2 linked regions of the Bombyx mori genome follow. Each later gene encodes a partner of the first gene's protein in a complex. Links are inferred from orthologs where the notes say so. Each region holds a gene or a part of one and is shown on either strand. Other genes may lie near its edges.

Region 1 (9,582 bases):
TGAAATCTATGTCAAGTTCACCATTTTCCAATTTGTCAACTGTGAATACGAATATATTTAGTAAAAATACTACACCTCCACAAGACGCTGCTAAAAAATTAAACATATCTGACACAGTAGAGGACTTTGAACCCACTGCAGAATTTAAACCAGTTGTACCTTTACCTACATTGATTGATCAAAAAACTGGAGAAGAAGACGAAAATGTGTTGTTTGAGAACCGTGCTAAACTCCTACGTTTCGATGCTTCAGACAAAGAATGGAAAGAGCGAGGACTAGGTAACATGAAGTTACTTATACACAAAGAAAATACCCAAAAAGTACGATTATTAATGAGACGAGAACAAACTTTGAAAGTATGTTGCAATCATTCAGTAACAAAATTTATGATATTCCAAAAAATGCAGAATATGGAGAAAGCTGTTACTTGGTGCGCTAAGGACTTTTCAGAAGGAGAACTGGTAACACAAACATTTTGTTTGCGTTTTAAAACTCCAGAGCAATGCGGAAAATTTATTGATACTGTAAACATGGCACAGAAAAATATGGAAGATGAATCAAAAACTTCCAAGGAAGGAAACAATGCAGCCACACAGAACAATCAAACTGGATTTGGAGATAAATTTAAGTCAAAACCAGGGTCTTGGTATTGTGAAACATGTTATACCAATAACTTGGAAAGTTTTGACAAATGTGCTTGTTGTGAACAACAGAAACCACAACTTGTTGTGAATAATAAAGAATTAGGTTTTGGAGACAAATTCAAAAAGCATCCAGGAACATGGGAGTGCCCGATGTGTTTAATTCGCAATGAAATTGGAGTAAAAAATTGCATTGCCTGTAAAACACTTAAAGATCCTTCAGAAACAAATAATAAACCAGAACCAGAAGTACAACCATTGCAATATTCTTATGGAATACCTGGTCAAAATGCTAAAACCTTAGAAAATAAAACAATACAGTTTCAAAATACAAATATTCAAATATCAACTGATTCAAAAGCTTCTATTCCGAAATTTAAATTTGGTATTGCACCAGCATCACATGAATCAAACGAGGAAACTAATTCAGAAGTTGATGCACCCACTTCCACATCTATATTTGATGGTACTGGTACACACACATTTAAATTTGGTATTCCATCAAATTTGACTGTAAAGCCCCAAAATTCACTTGAAATTAAAAAACCAATGAGTACAATGTTTGATTCACCTAAGACTTCAGTAGCTGCTGAAAAACCTTTGAACATAAATTTAAAAATAGAACATGAAAATGAGAGTAACACAGCTGTATTATCTAAATCAAAAGATCTTACGTTTGGTTCTAATGAAAGTGGAACATTCAATTTCGTTTTTAAACCAAAAACTCCAGTAAAATCCAAGAGTCCATTGAAAAATCCAAAAAGTCCTGGTGAGGACAGTGATGGAAATGATGAGTGTGTGTCAGAAGAGGAGTCGTCCCAGATACAATTTACACCTGTTATTCCCTTGCCTGATGAGGTAAGTCATATTTTAATTTTACAAAAAAAATTCATAAAATTTGAAGTCGTCGTAGCTTAAAGGATAAGGACGACCGGTGCATTCGTATTGAGCGATGCACGGGTGTTCGAATCCCAGGCGGGTGCTAGTTTTTCTAATGAAATACGTACTCAACAAATGTTCACGATTGACTTCCACGGTGAAGGAATAACATCGTGTAATAAAAATCAAACCCGCAAAATTATAATTTGCGTAATTACTGGTGGTAGGACCTCTTGTGAGTTCGCGTGGGTAGGTACCACCACCCTGCCTATTTCTGCCGTGAAGCGGTGATACGTTTCGGTTTGAAGGGCGGCGAAGACCTTAGAACTGATATCTCAAGGTGGGTAGGGCATTTACGTTGTAGATGTCTATGGGCTCCAGTAACCACTTAACACCATGTGGGCTGTGAGCTCGTCCACCCAATTAAGAAATAAAAAAATAAAAAAACTTGATGTGGATTAGCAGACAAAGGATAACTGTAAACCAGCATCTGATAACTGTAACCCATACACCAAATGATAGTAGATTTCAGTACCACAAGAACATTGTAATACAATTCAACATGAAATTTCTAGTTGAAGTGCATCAACGTAAGCATATGATATAAATTAGGGATAGAAACAGTAGTTATTTTTAGCTTTTATTTTTAATCACAAATTACTGTACAAAATTCTAATCTTACATTTTCCTTGACTAGTTCCATCAAAATAAGATAAATAAGTAGTAGTCATATAATATATAGTATAGTCCAAGTGTCTTATTCGTATTGAGAGTTAAAAATAAAGATTGAATAGAAAATGTTGTAAATATATACATGTTGTATTTGAAAAAAATTGCTTTGACAGGTTCAAGTTGTAACTGGGGAGGAAAATGAAACTGAACTTTATGGCCACAGAGCCAAACTATATAGATTTATGGCTGGCGAATGGAAAGAGAGAGGAATCGGAGTTGTAAAAATTTTGAAACACAAAGATACAGGCAAGTTAAGGTAAGTAATAACTTAACTGGTGTTTTATTAGAGACATATTCAAATAGACCATAATCATAATCATCATTTAATTTATTCTTTTATTTTAGAGTTGTAATGCGACGGGAGCAAGTTCTAAAAATATGTTTAAATTATGCATTAGCGCCTGAAATTACATTTACTCCCAAAGATGAAAAAACGTGGTTGTTTGCTGCTAATGATTATAGTGAGGGAGAGTTAAGCTTACAACAATTTTGCCTTCGATTTGCAAATAAAGAAACTGCTACTGAGTTCAAAGACGCAGTTGATAAAGCCAGGGATGGTAAATCTATTGAAATAATGAAAAAAGATGATAAATGTAATTCAGAAAGTATTTCTGGAAAGAGTGAACAAAATATTGATGAGGATGATGTTATTTTTGTGAGTGAAACAGTTGCCACTGTGGAAGAAAAGCAGAAAGCAAAGGATCTATTACTTCCGGAAAACTTTTACAATTACAAATGTAAAGATCCATGTCAAGGATGCCGGGGTTGCAAAGAAAATGAGTTTGTAAAAAAAACTGATTCTCCAGTGAATATTAGCAACTCAACAAATCCACTAGAACATATGACTATGGCAGCTCTTCTATCGACTCCTAGTAAAACGACTCCATCTTCATTTCAAAGTCCTACTAATTCATTGTATGGCACTCCATCTAATTTTGAAAAGACTTACGATACCTCAATTTTCCGTACTCCTCTAGGATCAATTGGCTCATTAAAATCCGATACACCTACATCAACAATAAAAAAATCTGATCTTTTAATTAGCAAAGAAAATGATTCAATACAGAAACCCTCAGTTTATTCAACATCAACTGTTGAGGAGGTTGAAGCAACAGAGATAAATTCAAAGTCTAAAGGTGTTATACTTGCTCCCCCAAAACTTACTAATGTTCCCTCAAATGAACAAAAAGCTCCAGAAAAAAGCTCCATTTTTACTAGTGGTCAAAACAAACCTATGTTTGATCAATCCAAATTTCTATTTGGTAGTGCTGCTGCTGGTACTTCTAGTAATAAATCAATTTTTTCATATTCAAGTGATAACTCACCTAAAAATCCAAAAGATGATGTGAAATCAATATTTGGTGGAGCCCAGAAAGACTTTTTATTTAGTAATGTAGCACAAAGTAAAATTTTTGGCCCAGGATCAATAGCTAGTAATCAATCGAAACCCAGTCTTTTTAGTACACAACCACAGACTGAAGAAAAAAAGAATGTGTTCGTAAATAATGACTTGCAGTGTGGGAATAATGCAACTATTAATTCTAATCAGAAAAAAACAAATGAAGACATCTCAGAAAAATCCAATGTAGCCAAAAAAGAAGAGATAAATAGTGAAGGACCCTTCAGAATTGATAATAAACTATCATTTGCTGCTTTGTCTACGGGTAGTGGTGATAATTTTCAGAGTAAGTGCTTATTACTGATTTATTAAGGATCGCCATATTAATAAAAAATAATAATATTAAATCAATTAACAGCTGTAAACAGTCAATCTCAGTGTTTAAGTTTAGTAAAAGCAAACTTAGCAAAAAAAAGGACCCAGTATGACGTATGTAATGGCAATAAGTAGGTACTAAAAGTTCATGTTTAAGTTAGCTCTATGAATCAAAATCTTGTACAATAATTATGTGTTTTAAATTGTGAAGAGCGTATGGTGAGTCCACAATGCAAGATGTCTTTTTCGGCAGCAAAGCACGCGTTAGGAGTTGAAGGTTAGGTACGACAGGCGGAATAACAATCAGTTGATGGCTCTGTCCGGGCGTAGCTGAAACAGCCTCTTAGGCTACCAGCAAATAGTTGGGGAATAAAATGTGGTCGACTACATTCGGATAAGATATTCATACTGTATTCGTATTATACAATTTAAATAAATGGAAAGTTTGAAAAGTTTTTAAATATTAAATTAGAGCAAATGCTGATATTTGTAAAACAATATATTAAGCCCCAAGCAATATATTAAAATCACATCATGTGTAATTACAAAGGTAAAAAACATCAAATTCCATTGCAGAAAAGGCCGATTTTCAATGGGAGGGTGCAGGTCAGCAACTGTTTGCTGGTGGACAGAGAATAGAGGGAGATAATTCTAAAACTGAAAGCAATGCAGTAACCGAAAAAAGTGGAGCTGCAGGTGATGAAGAATATGACCCATATTATGAACCTATTGTACCTTTACCTGAAAAAATTGTGATCACTACTGGTGAAGAGGATGAGGTAAGTACTGTTCTGCTTATGATTTTACAAGTTACTAAATTTTTCACAAATCATTTCATTAATGAACTTTCAATATGTTTTGTCTACACAACCTGTATTCAATGATTAATTTGATTTGAGTTTGTAACCCTTTGAAATACTGGCACTGAGTTGGGGGATAGTATTTAAATAACTACTTTTTTCTCCTACCTACGCCAAAAGTTCGGTTTTCCTCCCGCTGTACAGGGAAGATTGTCTAACTTTTCCTCCCACTGTAAGGAGAAGAAACTGTAACTTTACCCCCTGGGTATAACCAGGTAAATGTCAGAAGTGCTCAATAAAATAACACTATAAACTTAATCCTAAATGAGTTGTGAAATTTTAGGAAAAATTGTTTGGCGAAAGATGCAAATTATTCCGTTATAATGAATCTCAAGAATGGAAGGAACGTGGTGTAGGCGAAATAAAAATTCTGTATCATCCAGAAAGAAAAACGTACAGATTTTTATTAAGAAGAGAACAGGTAATTAATTTTAATCATCCAAACACATTGTTCAACAAGGAAAAAAACGGATTAATTACTTACCAGATTTATTTAATATGCAAGTGAGTATAGTTTCATTTCCAAAGCACATACACATAAGAGGAGTCTCCAAAATAAGAGCCAAATGTATAATTAATTATATATTTATTATTGTTTTACACCTGGACGATAATCTAGATATTTAGTAAATTTTATTAATGGCCATACCATAACAGACATTGAAGTATCAGTGGGCAGGGCACATTGCTCGTAGAACGGAGGGACGTTGGGGCCAGAAAGTTCTTGGGTGGCGACCGTGTGTGTACTTGAAGAGTTAGCGTGGGTAGGCCTCCCACAAGATGAACCGACGACCCATTCGAGGTTCGCGGGGATCCGCTGGATGCAGGCAGCGCAGATACGGTCTTTGTGGCGAGGCTTGGGGGAGGCCTATGTCCGGCAGTGGACGTCTGTGGGCTGATAAGAAGAAGAAGAAGATACCAATAAATTCTTAATCTCGTTTAAGTAAGGTTTCAATACCTTCACGCTTGCTACGATTTAAAAAAAATTGCCAGGTTCATAAAGCTGTATTGAATATGCTGTTATTTGCGGATTTGGAATTACACCCAATGAAAAATTCTGATCGAGCATGGATTTGGGCTGGGATAAATTATGCAGAAGACCCATCTGGTCAGCAGGAGACCCTAGCTGTCCGTTTTAAATCGATCGAACTGTTCAATGAGTTCGGCAATAAGGTCGCCCAATGTATACAGGTCAGTGTAAGATATTTATATTCATTTAAAATAAATGATCTAAAGGTTGGCAGAATGCTATGTTTCAAACTGAAAAAAAATACTATTTTTTAACTATAAAAATGAAATTCACAAGTAATATAAACGAGGCTATTTTTATAGCATAATATAAGATATTGTAAATTATTTTTATTATTATGAACCCCTTGGGAAGTTCCTACTGACAGGATTTTCTGAGCGATCTAACAAAACACAATTTCAAATATTTTTGTTTCGTATATTGTATTCAATGCTATGCTTAATACTGCAAAGTTATATTATCAAATATTTTCAATACTTTTATTCCTAAAACACTTTTGAAACAAAAATATAATTACTCAGACAGTGACACTATGTTTTACAGGTTCTAGTTTGCATAAACTATGTCTAAATGGTAATTTTCTTATTACAGAAGCTGCAAGATGAAACAGCTGCTAAGCCTATTGAAGTGAAAAAATCTCAAGAAACAAATGAGGCCAGTTTCACCAATCCCATGCGGTTGCCGAAACATTTGCAAGACAGTGCACGAGCAGACTACGCGATGACGGCAAAAGTGGAACAGCAAACTCAGAGAGACGAAGTCGTGGACCCGAAACCAGAAGCTGTGTTCCAAGTCAGACCATCACCGTCCAAAGAAAATTTTCAACAAGTACAGTTCCAAGAAATGCGCCAATCAAAGGAATATGACGTTGATGAAGAATATGACGACGATAATGGCGAAGATAATTATGATGAGTATGATCCCGACTATGAGCACAATGAATACGACCATGAATACAATGAAGATGTAAGTGTTAAAATTAGCGTATCCTAACATTCAAAATGGATGCGACTTTTGAATATTTTGATTTTTTTTATATTATATTTAATATAACCATGAAAAAAATGCCACCTATGATGTCTTATATTCAGCGATGGGTAAAAATTGAAGGGCTTAAATGAGTTGGTTATTCATTTTAATTAATGCGAATATATTTGATGATTTCATGTTGCATTGTCGGAATTTTTTGAAGTCGAGGTTCACAATTTTATAATTTGAACTTTTAAATTACTATTTTTATGCTATAAGGCAGATGAGACCTATTTTAAAATAATTTTTCTTTAATTATTGATCTGGAAATTGTAATATATTATAGAAAACCAAAGCAAAGTACAAAACTGCATATAAATTTGTAGAAAGAAAATTAATTGAAGTAGAAGTTTGTTTATCAAGGGTGAAAGACCTCGATGCTTGCCTGAAATTTGAATGTCAAACATCCAATGTAACCGTCATCACATTATTTTAATACCTGTATCATCATAATACAGCTCAGATTAGACCTTTTATCTCAAAGTGGCTATGAGCACCCTTCCACCTTGCCTGCATTTTGGAAACACTTAACATCTGGGGTCGGGCGCAAAACAAAAAAATTTGAAATAATGGCGACCACACCTACTGTTCCAAATAAAACCCAAGATGCACAGCAAAAACAAGGTTTTTATTCCGACCGTGTATAATAAATACACTCTAACAAAAGATTTATTCCCAAGCGGAGACCAGAAATTAAAAATACAAGAATTTAAAACTACCGTTTTATTTATTTACATACACACAATAAACATTAAATGTCCATTTATCGATGATTTCAATTTTAATTCAATATGTAGGAAGAGGAAGAATCTGGTGAATATTATTCGTGTGATGGAGAAGCAGTTATCAAGCAAGGCAGTTCAGAAACGACATGTGAGAACGCTCGCATCATCGTGATATTTGATCAGGATGTTTGCTCACCTAAAATTCTGATCACTGACAGTGGAACTGGAGAAATCCTTGCCGATATGCTTATAAGCACAGATACTGAATTTGAGGTACGTATTTTTAATAATTATATATAATTTTTCGTTATTTCGTAGCAAGCGGTGTTGCTGGCAGTGCTTTAAAAAATATATTTTACCAACATGTTTTGCGCTACAGGTTATAATATCGCTATTAACACTGCTTTCGGCGACACCATAGTGGTGTCGTGAGATGGCTGTTTCAGTAGTTTGCTTGCTAATAATAATAGTTTAAATTGTTCGAAATCGGAAAACTAAATTTAATATATAATAATAACATAATTTCCACTAAAATTATGTTATTATTTGCGTTACTTAAAATACTTTTAAATAATATGTTCACTTTGTTATAATTAAATCACGATAAGTGATGTATTTAAAACTCATTACCTTTAAAACATTTTAAATTAATTCTCCATATTCCATTTAGATTTCTAGTGATACTACGTGCAAATGGTCAGGAACGGACTTTACGAGCAATGATCCCGTTGAAAAGTCTGTAACAGTTAACTTCCCCGATAGTGAAGTCGCAGCACAGTTCCATGAAAGTTGTGAGGTAAGAAAACGTAAAAAAAAGTTCGCATACAACAGTTGTACATTTCATGTCTCTCTATAAAATATATAAGTTTCACATGTGTAATGGTTTTTTATTTATTTCAGACTTTATGTAAAGGTGCATCGCTGTACAGATCAGATCCAGAATCGTAGGAATATTTCAAAGTATTTTAATATAGTTTTATAATTTGTGTTTAAGAAGTAGGTTTTGTGCCACCTTGGTATTTGAACAAAGTTATCATCAATATTTTCACATATTTTATTAATGTAATTTTTAATTTAAAAACAACAAGTAAAATGCGAGTTTTTTTAATATATGGTACATTACCACCACCACCACCACCACCACTACCACTTATGAAACTATCACTAATGCATATAATTATAATGTTTAGTGTGATTTTACAAAAATCAATAGCACGCTGTCTGTGAGATATTTCATAGTAAGTATAGTACTTAAAATATTTTGTCTTACTATTTACTAAATCATTTTGTTTTCAATACATTTATAATTATCTTGTAATAAATATGTGTTATAACTTATCACAAGGAGATCTAACCAACACTTGTTACTTATTTATTAAAAAGATAAAAAAGTAGTAAATTATTTTTGTATTTTATGTCGTTCCTAGTTGGTTAGGTCTTCTTGTATTCCTTTCTTGTATTAAGTTAATATGTAGAGCTGTAAACCTATAAGTTTCATAGTAACTTCACAGTTCAATGATTCAGTCAAATAAAAAGACTACAGAAGAGGACATAACTCCGAGTAAAATTGACATTATTGAAGTATAAAAATGTATGTTGTTAAATAAATCAAATATCGTCGTGTTTCCCTGTATTACGTGGATTATAAAATAATTGATATTATAGAAATGAGAAAAGGATTGAATTTCAAATTATGACATTAAACAGTAAATAAATGCATATAGGACGAAAAAAATAATCTTGTTCTCATTTTGGAATCTGATGTGGAATGTATTGTGGAATGTGAAGAACTTACTTATAACGTAATAAAGATGTTGAAATAGGAAATTGTCTGTTATTTTATTCTGTAGTAGACAGATCTGAACGCACTATAATGATGAGTAGCTACTAAACAATGACTTATTTTGGAAAAAGTGGTGCAAAGGGTTTTCCTGCTGTATCTTTTTTTTTCCTACCTAAGCTGATAGTCTTG
Region 2 (10,126 bases), about 5.0 Mb from region 1:
GGTCTCAGTATAGTTACAACGGCTGCCCCACCCTTCAAACCGAAACGCATTGCTGCTTCACGGCAGAAATAGGCTGGGTGGTACCTATACGTGTGGACTCACAAGAGGTCCTACCAGCAGTAAAGACTTTCCCAAAGTGGGCGATAACGCCCCCTTGTGGGCGCTGCAGGCCTAAAGGGGGGCGGTAAGAGACCCAGAAAAAAAATGGGGGCGGTGTGTAGAGGCTTGGGAGGCGATTTGTAATTTTATCTAGGAGCACTCTTAGACACCGACTGAGCTCTGGCTATAGTGATTTTTAAGTACGTGAAAAAATAGGGGCGCTATATATAATTTATTCTCAAAGTAAGCAGTAGACAAAATAAGTTTGGGAACCCCTGATCTACAATAACGAAATCACTCGAAATCGTCTCTAATCCATATAGGCCCCGTTTGCAAAAATCACCTTAGCCCCCTCTTGTAAGTGTGTGGGCAAAATGGAATACGTTTTTTTTATGTTTGGGTGATCACTGGCGGCCCGGAAGCCTTTCCAGTTTCACCGGGACAGGTGGGAGAAGCAAGGGCTCAGCGGGGAAGGGTGGGATTTTGCTAACAGCTACCCGAGCGCCTCCAAAGGAGACCTAACAACTCAAGAATTACTGCTTCGCGAATATATCTACTACCAGATCGGAATCGTGACCCGCTGATGAGATCCGGCGAGAAACTCAGCCGGCTGATGTTTAGGTTAGATTAGGTTGTACGTTGAACTCATTGCAGAGTTCGACGAGTACGGTTACCGGAGTCCCTGAGCCTGCTCCTAGCGTTAGAGCTAAAGGCGTCTAATGCAATGGTTATGAGTTTGCGTAAAGACGTGTCTAGGGCGGCAACGATAAGGCGATTATCATGACACATAGCTTTATCGAAGTACCGTTCCGATGCTGACTTCATGTGTTTCCGGCTTGATTAGAGGCCCAGGTCGTCGTGTAGGTCAATGGAATAGGTACAATTGTAACAGGTTCATTGAAAGTACCGATACGGCCGCTCCATAGGACCGATATGTTTAACAGACTACTGAGGCTGCTTCGATTAAACATAATACGTACAATACTAAAATATTCCCACAATAAATATTACTAATGGCTTAACAGTAAATATAATTACACTTTGTTTATGCTTGTAAGATTTTACAGAATATCCCGTTGATGGATATAGTTTTATCATATTTATGTATATTATATAAATCTGTTTTAGATGTTATAGTTTGTGTTGACCTACCTCTGAGAATCCAATAATTGGCACTGGAATGTAATTAGCAGAGTCCGGTTTGTCGGCTTGAGCTTGTTTCCATAATCTTATATCCATGCCTATAGTGAAAATAAGGAAATTGATTATTTTGTACGAAATTAATTTAATAGCTAGTAATATTAACGAAATTAAATTAAATTCATTAAAAAAAAAAAAAAACTTGAATGGTTATAAAAAAGAAACATTTGTTTAGTTTCATTGACGAAGTTCACAAAATGTAAAAATCGTGCTAATTCACATTGAAACATACATTACATATGAGGACTTCAAAACGACGCAAGAGTAGCTGCGAGAGCAATTAAAGATTCCAAGAAATATGTTAAGAACAACATACTTAAATGAGACCCTTCATTCAATTATGTACTCTAAGAACTTCAGCGATTTTATTGTTATCATTACTGTGGTACGCAAAACTCTGTGTAATGCATTGCCCTGTCACTATGCTGAGTTGAAACCAACTATTGTCAATAATTAATTTCAATTAGTGCTGTTTGAGACATGAGGTCGAGGTCTCAATTGCATTCAAATACAGTCTATCCTTTCATTCAAATGGAAACTTTTGCTTAGCAGTAGAAATTATTTGGAGTCTTTGAATGGAGACTTTAGTGCAGAGAGTGGGGTTTGCTCAATATTCTTATAGTCTAAGGTGACGAAGGTGGCATACTTGAGTTTTTTTTTATTACACTTATTGGCAGACGAGCATACGGCCCACCTGATGGTGAGTGGTTACCGTTGCCCATGGACTTCAGCAATGCCAGGGGCAGAGCCAAGCCGCTGCCTACCGCTTAATACTCTCCACAAGCCTCGTTTGAACAAGGATATGTCATAGCGCTCGGGAAACACCGTGGAGGAGAGCTTATTCCATAGCCGGATGGTACGTGGCAAAAAATACCTCTGGAAACGCACTGTCGATGAACGCAGCGGTTCCAGATAATATTGATGAACTCTGCTCCGATGGCGGGAAGGTGCGGTGATAAAAAGTAGATGGGGGAATCATCTCAAACAATTCCTCAGAGCATTCCCTTTTGCTCAATATTCTTATAGTCTGAGGTGACGAAGGCGGCGTGTTGAGGTGTATGGCTTCTTTATGATACCTGGTGGAGGAGTTTGAAGGTACTGCTGCAGCATCTGCGGCGTCGGTGCGGTGACGGCGCTCACGGCAGAACAGCCGGCGCTGCTCAGGGCGTTCTTAGCGTTGCCGGCGTTTAAGAAATTCGCTAGCTCTGACGCAGAAACGTGAGAATTGTTCGCGGCCTTATCCACCACGTATATTACCACCTAGAGTAATTATTTAACATAATTTCAATCCAGATCTTTGTCTACGTTATATAAAATAAATCGGGGCAAATTTTATTTCGTACTAACTAACCCCGCAGACTTCGTAGTGCCTCAATCGATAAATAAAGGACCTAAACTTTTGTATAAAATAAACTTAAAACAAACAAAAGGAATCCGTCCGACGGGGGACACATCAAAGGAAAAACAAAAATGTATTTTTATTTAATTCCGAGCATTTTCATATTTATATACCTTTTAAACCTTCTCTGGACTTCCACAAGTAATTCAAGACCAAAATTAGCCAAATCGGTCTAGCCGTTCTCGAGTTTTAGCGAGACTAACGAACAGCAATTCATTTTTATATATATAGATTTATATCGCAGTTTATTTAAATTTGACAATAAACTCTGTCTTTTTCTAGTTATTTATCCGACACAGCGGTGGGGTCAGCTTTCCCTATTTTTCTCCTCATTTTCGTTTTGATTGCCACATCTTTGTCAGTAACATTGCATTCTTACTGGTGGTAGGACCTCTTGTGAGTCCGCGCGGGTAGGTACCACCACCCTGCCTATTTCTGCCGCGAAGCAGTAATGCGTTTCGGTTTGAAGGATGGGGCAGCCGTTGTATTTATACTAAGATCTTAGAGCTTATATCTCAAGGTGGGTGGCGCATTTACGTTGTAGATGTCTATGGGCTCCAGTAACCACTTAACACCAGGTGGGCTGTGAGCTCGTCAATTCATTTAAGCAATAAAAAAATAAAAAAATCCCTCTTGTCCTGCAACACTACATCTTTCCACCTTGAGCTGGAGTACCAAATTTCGGACGTAGTCTGGTGTCCTCTTTTTAACGTGACCATACAATCTCAGCCTACTCAACTGCATATTGTAGGCGATGTCCCGTCAGACCACGAATATGGTACAACTTTTACATACCTGACTTTTGTCATCTGCCACGGCTTTGACAGAATCAACATTGACAGCTAAGTTCGGTTTGTTCCCTAGTAAGCCTTGTAGTGATGTAATTAAACCTTGTTGGTTATTCCTGAAATAAAATTTAGATTAGAGAATCAGAAGACACATTTTAAAATAATGTTTAAGAGTACTTTATTGGTTTGTAGGGCGTTTTGTGAGATCGCACTGGCCGGTACTACCACCCTGCCTATTTCGGCTGCAAAGCAGTAATGCGTTTCAGTTCGAATGATGATGAGCAGTAGTTGTACTGTAAGCCTGAGACTCATGTCTCAATGTGGGTGACGGCATTTATGTTGTGTGTCTATGGGATCCGGTAACTACGTTACACCAGGTGGGCCAGATAAGCTCATCCACAAACATGAGTAACAAAAAATTTACTAAAAGTTGCTTAATAACTGGTTTTGTTAATGCGAGTTTTGAATGAATGAATAAATTTGCCGCGGCTGTATGTAAATCTATTATGTCACATCAAAATCTAAGTTAGATGCAAAATAATTTTATTTCATGTAGTTTTCATGTCATCAGTTTTTATGATCCCAAATGAAAAGAAAGAAAAATATAATTTTGCAATCGTAAGAACAACTTTAATACTTATAGTATATTTCCGAAAACACTGGTTGTCTTAAACAGAAATAAAATAAAGTTCTTACTTAATTTCTTGTTCGCTTTTGTTAAAAATCATAGCAACATGTCCATCCTTATCTTCCTTCTCACAGAGCTTTGAGTAGCCAACTGCTTTAAAACGACAGAGCGGATTTTGCTCTGTCAACGTCAAAGGCGGATGGTTTCGACTATAGTACGCTTGACCTAAACGAGAAAAAAATCATACTTACATACATACATTATAAAAGTTGACTGTTTGAATCTGTTTCTGAATTTAAATCTAAATATTCAATATTTAACAAATTAATGTAATTAAAAAAAAAAAAAATTATAGTCTATAGTAATAATATAATATCTATAGAATTTATAGTTCAAATAACAATGTGCAAGAGAAAATTTTTAAGTAAATGGAGAAACCTTGCTGCTCTGTGTTCGAATCTTACGTACCACAGGAACTGCCAAAGGAATTTTGTTATAACTAGAAGTCCCGCAGTAGTCGAAATTCGACTATAATTAATTGGAATTGTAAGTTTGTACACTATTATGATTGTATTTTATACTTCTATAATCACAAAATTCGCCAAGACTACACTATAAAAAAATATTAACAAAGAAAAACAAAATTTTAATCTCAATTTGACAACAGACGTCAAGAACAAAAGATTGACAATAAATAGTATGCATGCGTGTGTGCGTCAAATACATGGTATGTAGTGTGTGTAATGTTTGCTTTATTGATTTAATGTATCTTTTATGCATTATTTAAAAAAAAAATTAGCAATGTGCACTTCTTCTCTATATTCTCTATAAGTGTGGAAAATTTCATAGTCCTCCGTCCGCGCAATTTTCGTAAAAAGGGATACAAAGTTTTTGCTTCACGTATTAATATATAGATTCCATAATGCCCTTTTTACTACCAAGCAAACTCATTACTGGAATTACTGCGTCTAGCATTAACTAGTATGGCGGCGATGATCTTATGTAACTATGATATTACGAGTTTATAGAAATTCTGAGCAACTTTTCATTATAAGTTCATCAATAAATTCTAATTTCATCTTTCGCCTGCGATTGTAAAAACAAGATGATGGGATCATCTCAAATAATTCCTCGGAGTGCTCCCCATGGAACATACGGTACAAAATACAGAGGGAACTAAGGTCTCTCCGCAGAGGTTACATACGACCCGTGAGAATGGGATTATCAATAATCCGAACGGCCCTTCTTTGTATGTAGTCAAATGTCACCATACACGACATCGAAGGGTCAAAGGTTATTTTGTTTAAGCGACATTTTTGCAACTTTACAGAAGAGCCATTTAACGTTTAAAATTTGGAGAAATATCATAATAAAAAAACTTATTCGGCTATTTCAATGAGTAAACTTAATTGAGGTTAAATTAAACATCGAACTGTTGATGTTAATCTATACATATAAATAAAATTGGAGTGTTTGTTTGTAATATTGAAATAGCCTCTTTTAACTACATGCATATATATATATATATATATGATACATACACCAATATACATTTTTTACAGTTTTTGTCTGTCTGTCTGTCTGTTTGTTCCGGCTAATCTCTGGAACGGCTAGACTGATTTTGACGAGATTTTCACTGATAGGTAGCTGATGATATAAGGAGTAACTTAGGCTACTTTTTTTAGACTAGCTTCGCCCCGCGGCGTCACCCGCGTTACGACAATAACCGCGTGTACTCAACTATCAATAATAAAATTTAATGTTTCCGAAGCGAAGCGAGGGCGGGTCCCTAGTACCAAAATAAAACGCACCTTTAATTACAAATATAACTGTCGCGTATTAAGCGTAACGTCGCTTAAATCAAATAGCCTTTCACCCCTCGATAAGTTTATTGTAGTTATTTTATTTTTATTAATCAGCATCGAGTGTCAAGTTTATACTGGTCACGCATACCTGTACCCCATTGAGCTTGAATCAAATTCCACTTCGCTAAAACTTGATCCCTTTCGTCGCCGAACACACAGCAGTTGAACACGGCCGCGACTAACGCCTCGTGGGCTGTCGCTGGCGCTTGCTGTTGCTGTTGCTGCTGTTGTAGTTGTTGTTGCTGTTACGATTATAATCTCTAAATTAGGACTCGTTAGGTTCGCTATGGAATGAAAGCTTTCGCAAATACATATTCATCAAGGCTTAGTTTAGTCACGTCAAATTGGCGAAAACCTAAGAAGCAGTGTAATTCAATTGTAATTGATTTTTAAAAAAAACATTTGAATTATTTATAAAAAGGACTTGTTTTTAGTGTAATGATGATATAATATATTTGAAGTCGTTGTGGCCTAAAGGATAAGACGTCCGGTGCATTTGTATGTAGCGATGCACCGGTGTTCCGAGTCCCGCAGGCGGGTAACAATTTTTCTAATGAAATACGTACTCAACAAATGTTCACGATTGACTTCCACGGTGAAGGAATAACATCGTGTAATAAAAATCAAACCCGCAAAATTATAATTTGCGTAATCACTGGTGGTAGGACCTCTTGGGAGTCCGCACGGGTAGGTACCTCCACCCCGCCTATTTCCGTCGTGAAGCAGTAATGCGTTTCGGTTCGAAGGGTGGGGTAGCTGTTGTAACTACATATACTGAGATCTTAGAACTTATATCTCGAGGTGGGTGGCGCATTTACGTTGTAGATGTCTATGGGCTCCAGTAACCACTTAACACCAGGTGGGCTGTGAGATCGTCCATCCATCTAAGCAATAAAAAAAAAACTTTTTTTTCCTACCTATGCTGAACCTTGAGAGGCTATTTCAGCTTCACTCTAATGTGTAGGTGAGCTCACGGGGTTCAAACCGGAGTGTTGCTAACACTGGCTCTAGCAAGAGCAGTGCTTCGCAGAATCTACCACCGGATCGGAAACGCAACCCACTGAGAAGATCCGGCGAGAAACTCAGTGGGCTGGGTCAATTCGCTCGTCGAGCCCTTCGTCGCAAGCGACGGTTTCGACGAGGACGGTGACCGGTGCTTGATACTGAAAGCACCGTTAATAGATCGGGAGGATCCGTAATGACGTGTTTTGGGCTTGTATCAACAAAGGTTAACGTTTTGTAATAAAAACGCTTCTACATGGTACAAACATGTGCTGATACATTCAATTATTTTTCATAGCTCTGTTATATGCGTTACCCCTAATATATTGACTATTGCAATTTCGGTCGCCCATTTGTTACTGCAGAATGACTTCAGAGTAAAAAAGGTCTGAGTTACAGAGCGAAATTACGAGGTTTCATCGTTTGCCGTGTGACTGTCGAAAACTAAAATCTATTTAAAAAAAGTTTCACTGATATACAAGCCCTACTGAATATTAATACGTATTTCATAAAAATATATGTTTTTCTAGTTCACTTCTTGTATGGTAATTGAATCAAACACACCTGTTGTTGTCCAAATTGATTAGTGCCAAGACCAAATCCACCGAAACCAGTTGACGGTTTTGTACCAAATCCACTGCCAAAAGTTCCGGTACCGAAAGCTCCTGTATTCAGATTGCTGGAACCTAGAGTGTTTGTACCAAATGTTGGTGCTGCACTCGCAAATGTATTGGATCCAGTTCCAAATAAACCAGTCCCAAATGTGTTCGTCCCAAAGCCAGTTGTTCCAAAACCTTTAACAATTGTGTAAATAATTTTGTCAATTATTAATAGTAATTAATTTGGAATTATATCTTTTTCAATATTTCAAATATCAAAATACAAAACTAAAGAGAAAATTTAATAATTAAAATGAAATCTTTAGGTATCAGTGATTACTTTGTAATACATGAATGTATGCATCAAAAACACTACTCGCATAATACATCTGATCAATCAAAGGTAAATTGGAAATTTGAAAACGTAAAGTAAAAATGTAAGTAAAATTTAATCAATATTACCAGTGGCAGGTTTGGCAGCTCCAAATCCAGTCCCTCCGAACAATGAATTAGTAGTTGTTGTAGTAGCAGTGTTACCCAAACCACCAAAAGGTGTTGCTGAAACATTAGATATTACATTATTACTACACTAATTGATATCAGTGAATATTATGCAGTGGCATATTGTTCTCGAGCAAATCGATTTAGCTTAATGCTAAACAGTTAGCTTTTGTAGCCTTGACTATCTGCGCATATTGTTTTTAAATTATGTGTCTTCTATATCATTCATGTGTTATTTGAGCTATAGAAACTCCATAAAATTAGACTGAAAAAATTATTATTCACAATTTATACGCTGAAATAAAATATACATTAAAAGTGCGATAAAATTAAGATATCCATACCACATGTGCATGTAAAGTTCGAGAGCAAAAACCACATTCTACTTTGATCGGATGTTTAGTAATTGTCATATTTAATTATGATTGTTTTGGAGTATGTTACATTAAACATTTTTCGTACAAATTGGAAATGACTCGTATTTTTTCCTAGTAAATTGATATATCTATACTAATATTATAAAGAGGAAAGATTTGTTTGTTTGTTTGTTTCGAATAGGCTCCGAAACTACTGGACCGATTTGAAAAATTCTTTTTCCATTAGAAGCCGACATTGTCCCTGATGAACATAGGCTACTTTTTTTTAAATTTTTTTTTTTTTTTTTTGTTTCATGTGTGTTTTAATGTTTCCGAAGCGAAGCGAGGGCGGGTCACTAGTTGTATACTTTAATTGAACTATAAACAACTGTGTATTTATACAGTTTTCAATCATTAGGTCTAAGAAACTTTTTTAACTAAGAATAGTTTGAAAGAATCTACATTTTTATATAGGTTATATGGGTGGACAAGCTCACGGCTCACCTGGTGTTAAGTGATAACCGGAGCCAATAAAAGTAGTAACCGGAACTCATTTTAAAAATAGTAAAGTCTTAAAATGGTAAACTTTCTATTCACACCACCATTATTAAATCACCAAAATTGAATGTGTCAATATAAAAATAGCTCTTGTCTGATTTTCTTTTATAGTTTTTGGTAATTGAAATGTGTAATGGTAGTTGTAATAATAGTGCAGAAATATATTTTTTTAAATTAATTATATTCTTAGTCAAGCCAAGTATTACCACTACTGGTCCCAAAGGAGCCAAAGCCCGATGAGGTTGTCGTAGTACCAAAATTAAACCCAGTACTGGTGGTTGTAGCAGTACTTGTTCCACCAAATGAAAATGTCGCTGGAATTAAAGTACGAAAGTGTTATTAAACAATTTAAACTAAAAAATTGGAATGACTGCCATGAATACCTGCAATTTGCAAAATGTGAACAATGAAACAGAAATCAATTTAATCATTTTTGTGACCAGGAGATGAAATAATCTTCATTATGTAGCTCCACTACATTAAGTATATTATGTATCAGAATCACAGTTAAGATATCCACTTGCCTGCGTAAACTATGTGACACAACTTACCAATGGTCAAAATTAGAATTAAGGGAAATTTGAAACCTAGTAAGTGAGAATAGGTATTACTGCGGACAATGAAGTAATAACAGTAACTCAAAAAGTTCGCGTTCCTTATCTTTCATTTAATGGCTCATTAATTTGATCATTGATGATTTCATGTAAAATTCTCTGGCCTTATATGTGTTATAGAACTTTCAGAACATATTTAAATGTTCTTGTGTTACATTTACATTCTAAATTATACTCACGTTTGGCGGCAGCACCAAAAACCGAACCTTGTGTAGTAGTGGTATTACCAAATGAAAAAGCCATTGAAACTATAACTAAATTAAACTATAAACCATGAACATACAACTATAGATTCTTGTAAAATTTAATTTAAAAATATGAACGGTAAGTATTTATTCTAGGTTGTCCATTTCATGAAATGTACCAAAACCATCAAAACATAACAAAATTATCAGACTTTTTTAGTGTAGTCCTTTGGATAGGCAAAGGAAATATAGTCTATACACCTAATTATTTTGTCGCCAATTCATGTCTGTTGGATGAAAAGTGATGTGGAGGAAAAGTGAAATACATAGTT

What was found.
Region 2: E3 SUMO-protein ligase RanBP2 (region 1) and probable nucleoporin Nup54 share a complex: the UniProt entries of both Drosophila melanogaster proteins name them as parts of the nuclear pore complex. The link is inferred for Bombyx mori from reciprocal best matches to the Drosophila melanogaster genes Nup358 and Nup54.

Annotation. Positions count from the first base shown.
Region 1 is NC_085121.1:11,019,905-11,029,486, forward strand, and holds the end of E3 SUMO-protein ligase RanBP2, read left to right. Parts: coding exon 1-1,499; intron 1,500-2,365; coding exon 2,366-2,508; intron 2,509-2,597; coding exon 2,598-3,937; intron 3,938-4,542; coding exon 4,543-4,745; intron 4,746-5,109; coding exon 5,110-5,247; intron 5,248-5,395; exon of another isoform or gene 5,396-5,721; intron 5,722-5,819; coding exon 5,820-6,017; intron 6,018-6,447; coding exon 6,448-6,822; intron 6,823-7,682; coding exon 7,683-7,883; intron 7,884-8,280; coding exon 8,281-8,406; intron 8,407-8,510; coding exon 8,511-8,558; 3' UTR 8,559-9,437; downstream 9,438-9,582. UniProt on the Drosophila melanogaster protein: E3 SUMO-protein ligase. Component of the nuclear pore complex (NPC), a complex required for trafficking across the nuclear envelope.
Region 2 is NC_085121.1:5,994,268-6,004,393, reverse strand, and holds the start of probable nucleoporin Nup54, read right to left. Parts: upstream 10,018-10,126; 5' UTR 9,853-10,017; coding exon 9,789-9,852; intron 9,310-9,788; coding exon 9,202-9,309; intron 8,139-9,201; coding exon 8,043-8,138; intron 7,776-8,042; coding exon 7,546-7,775; intron 6,222-7,545; coding exon 6,068-6,221; intron 4,340-6,067; coding exon 4,183-4,339; intron 3,603-4,182; coding exon 3,494-3,602; intron 2,560-3,493; coding exon 2,376-2,559; intron 1,341-2,375; coding exon 1,252-1,340; intron 1-1,251. UniProt on the Drosophila melanogaster protein: Component of the nuclear pore complex (NPC), a complex required for the trafficking across the nuclear envelope. Essential for the nuclear import of nuclear localization signal (NLS)-containing proteins in an importin alpha/importin beta-dependent manner.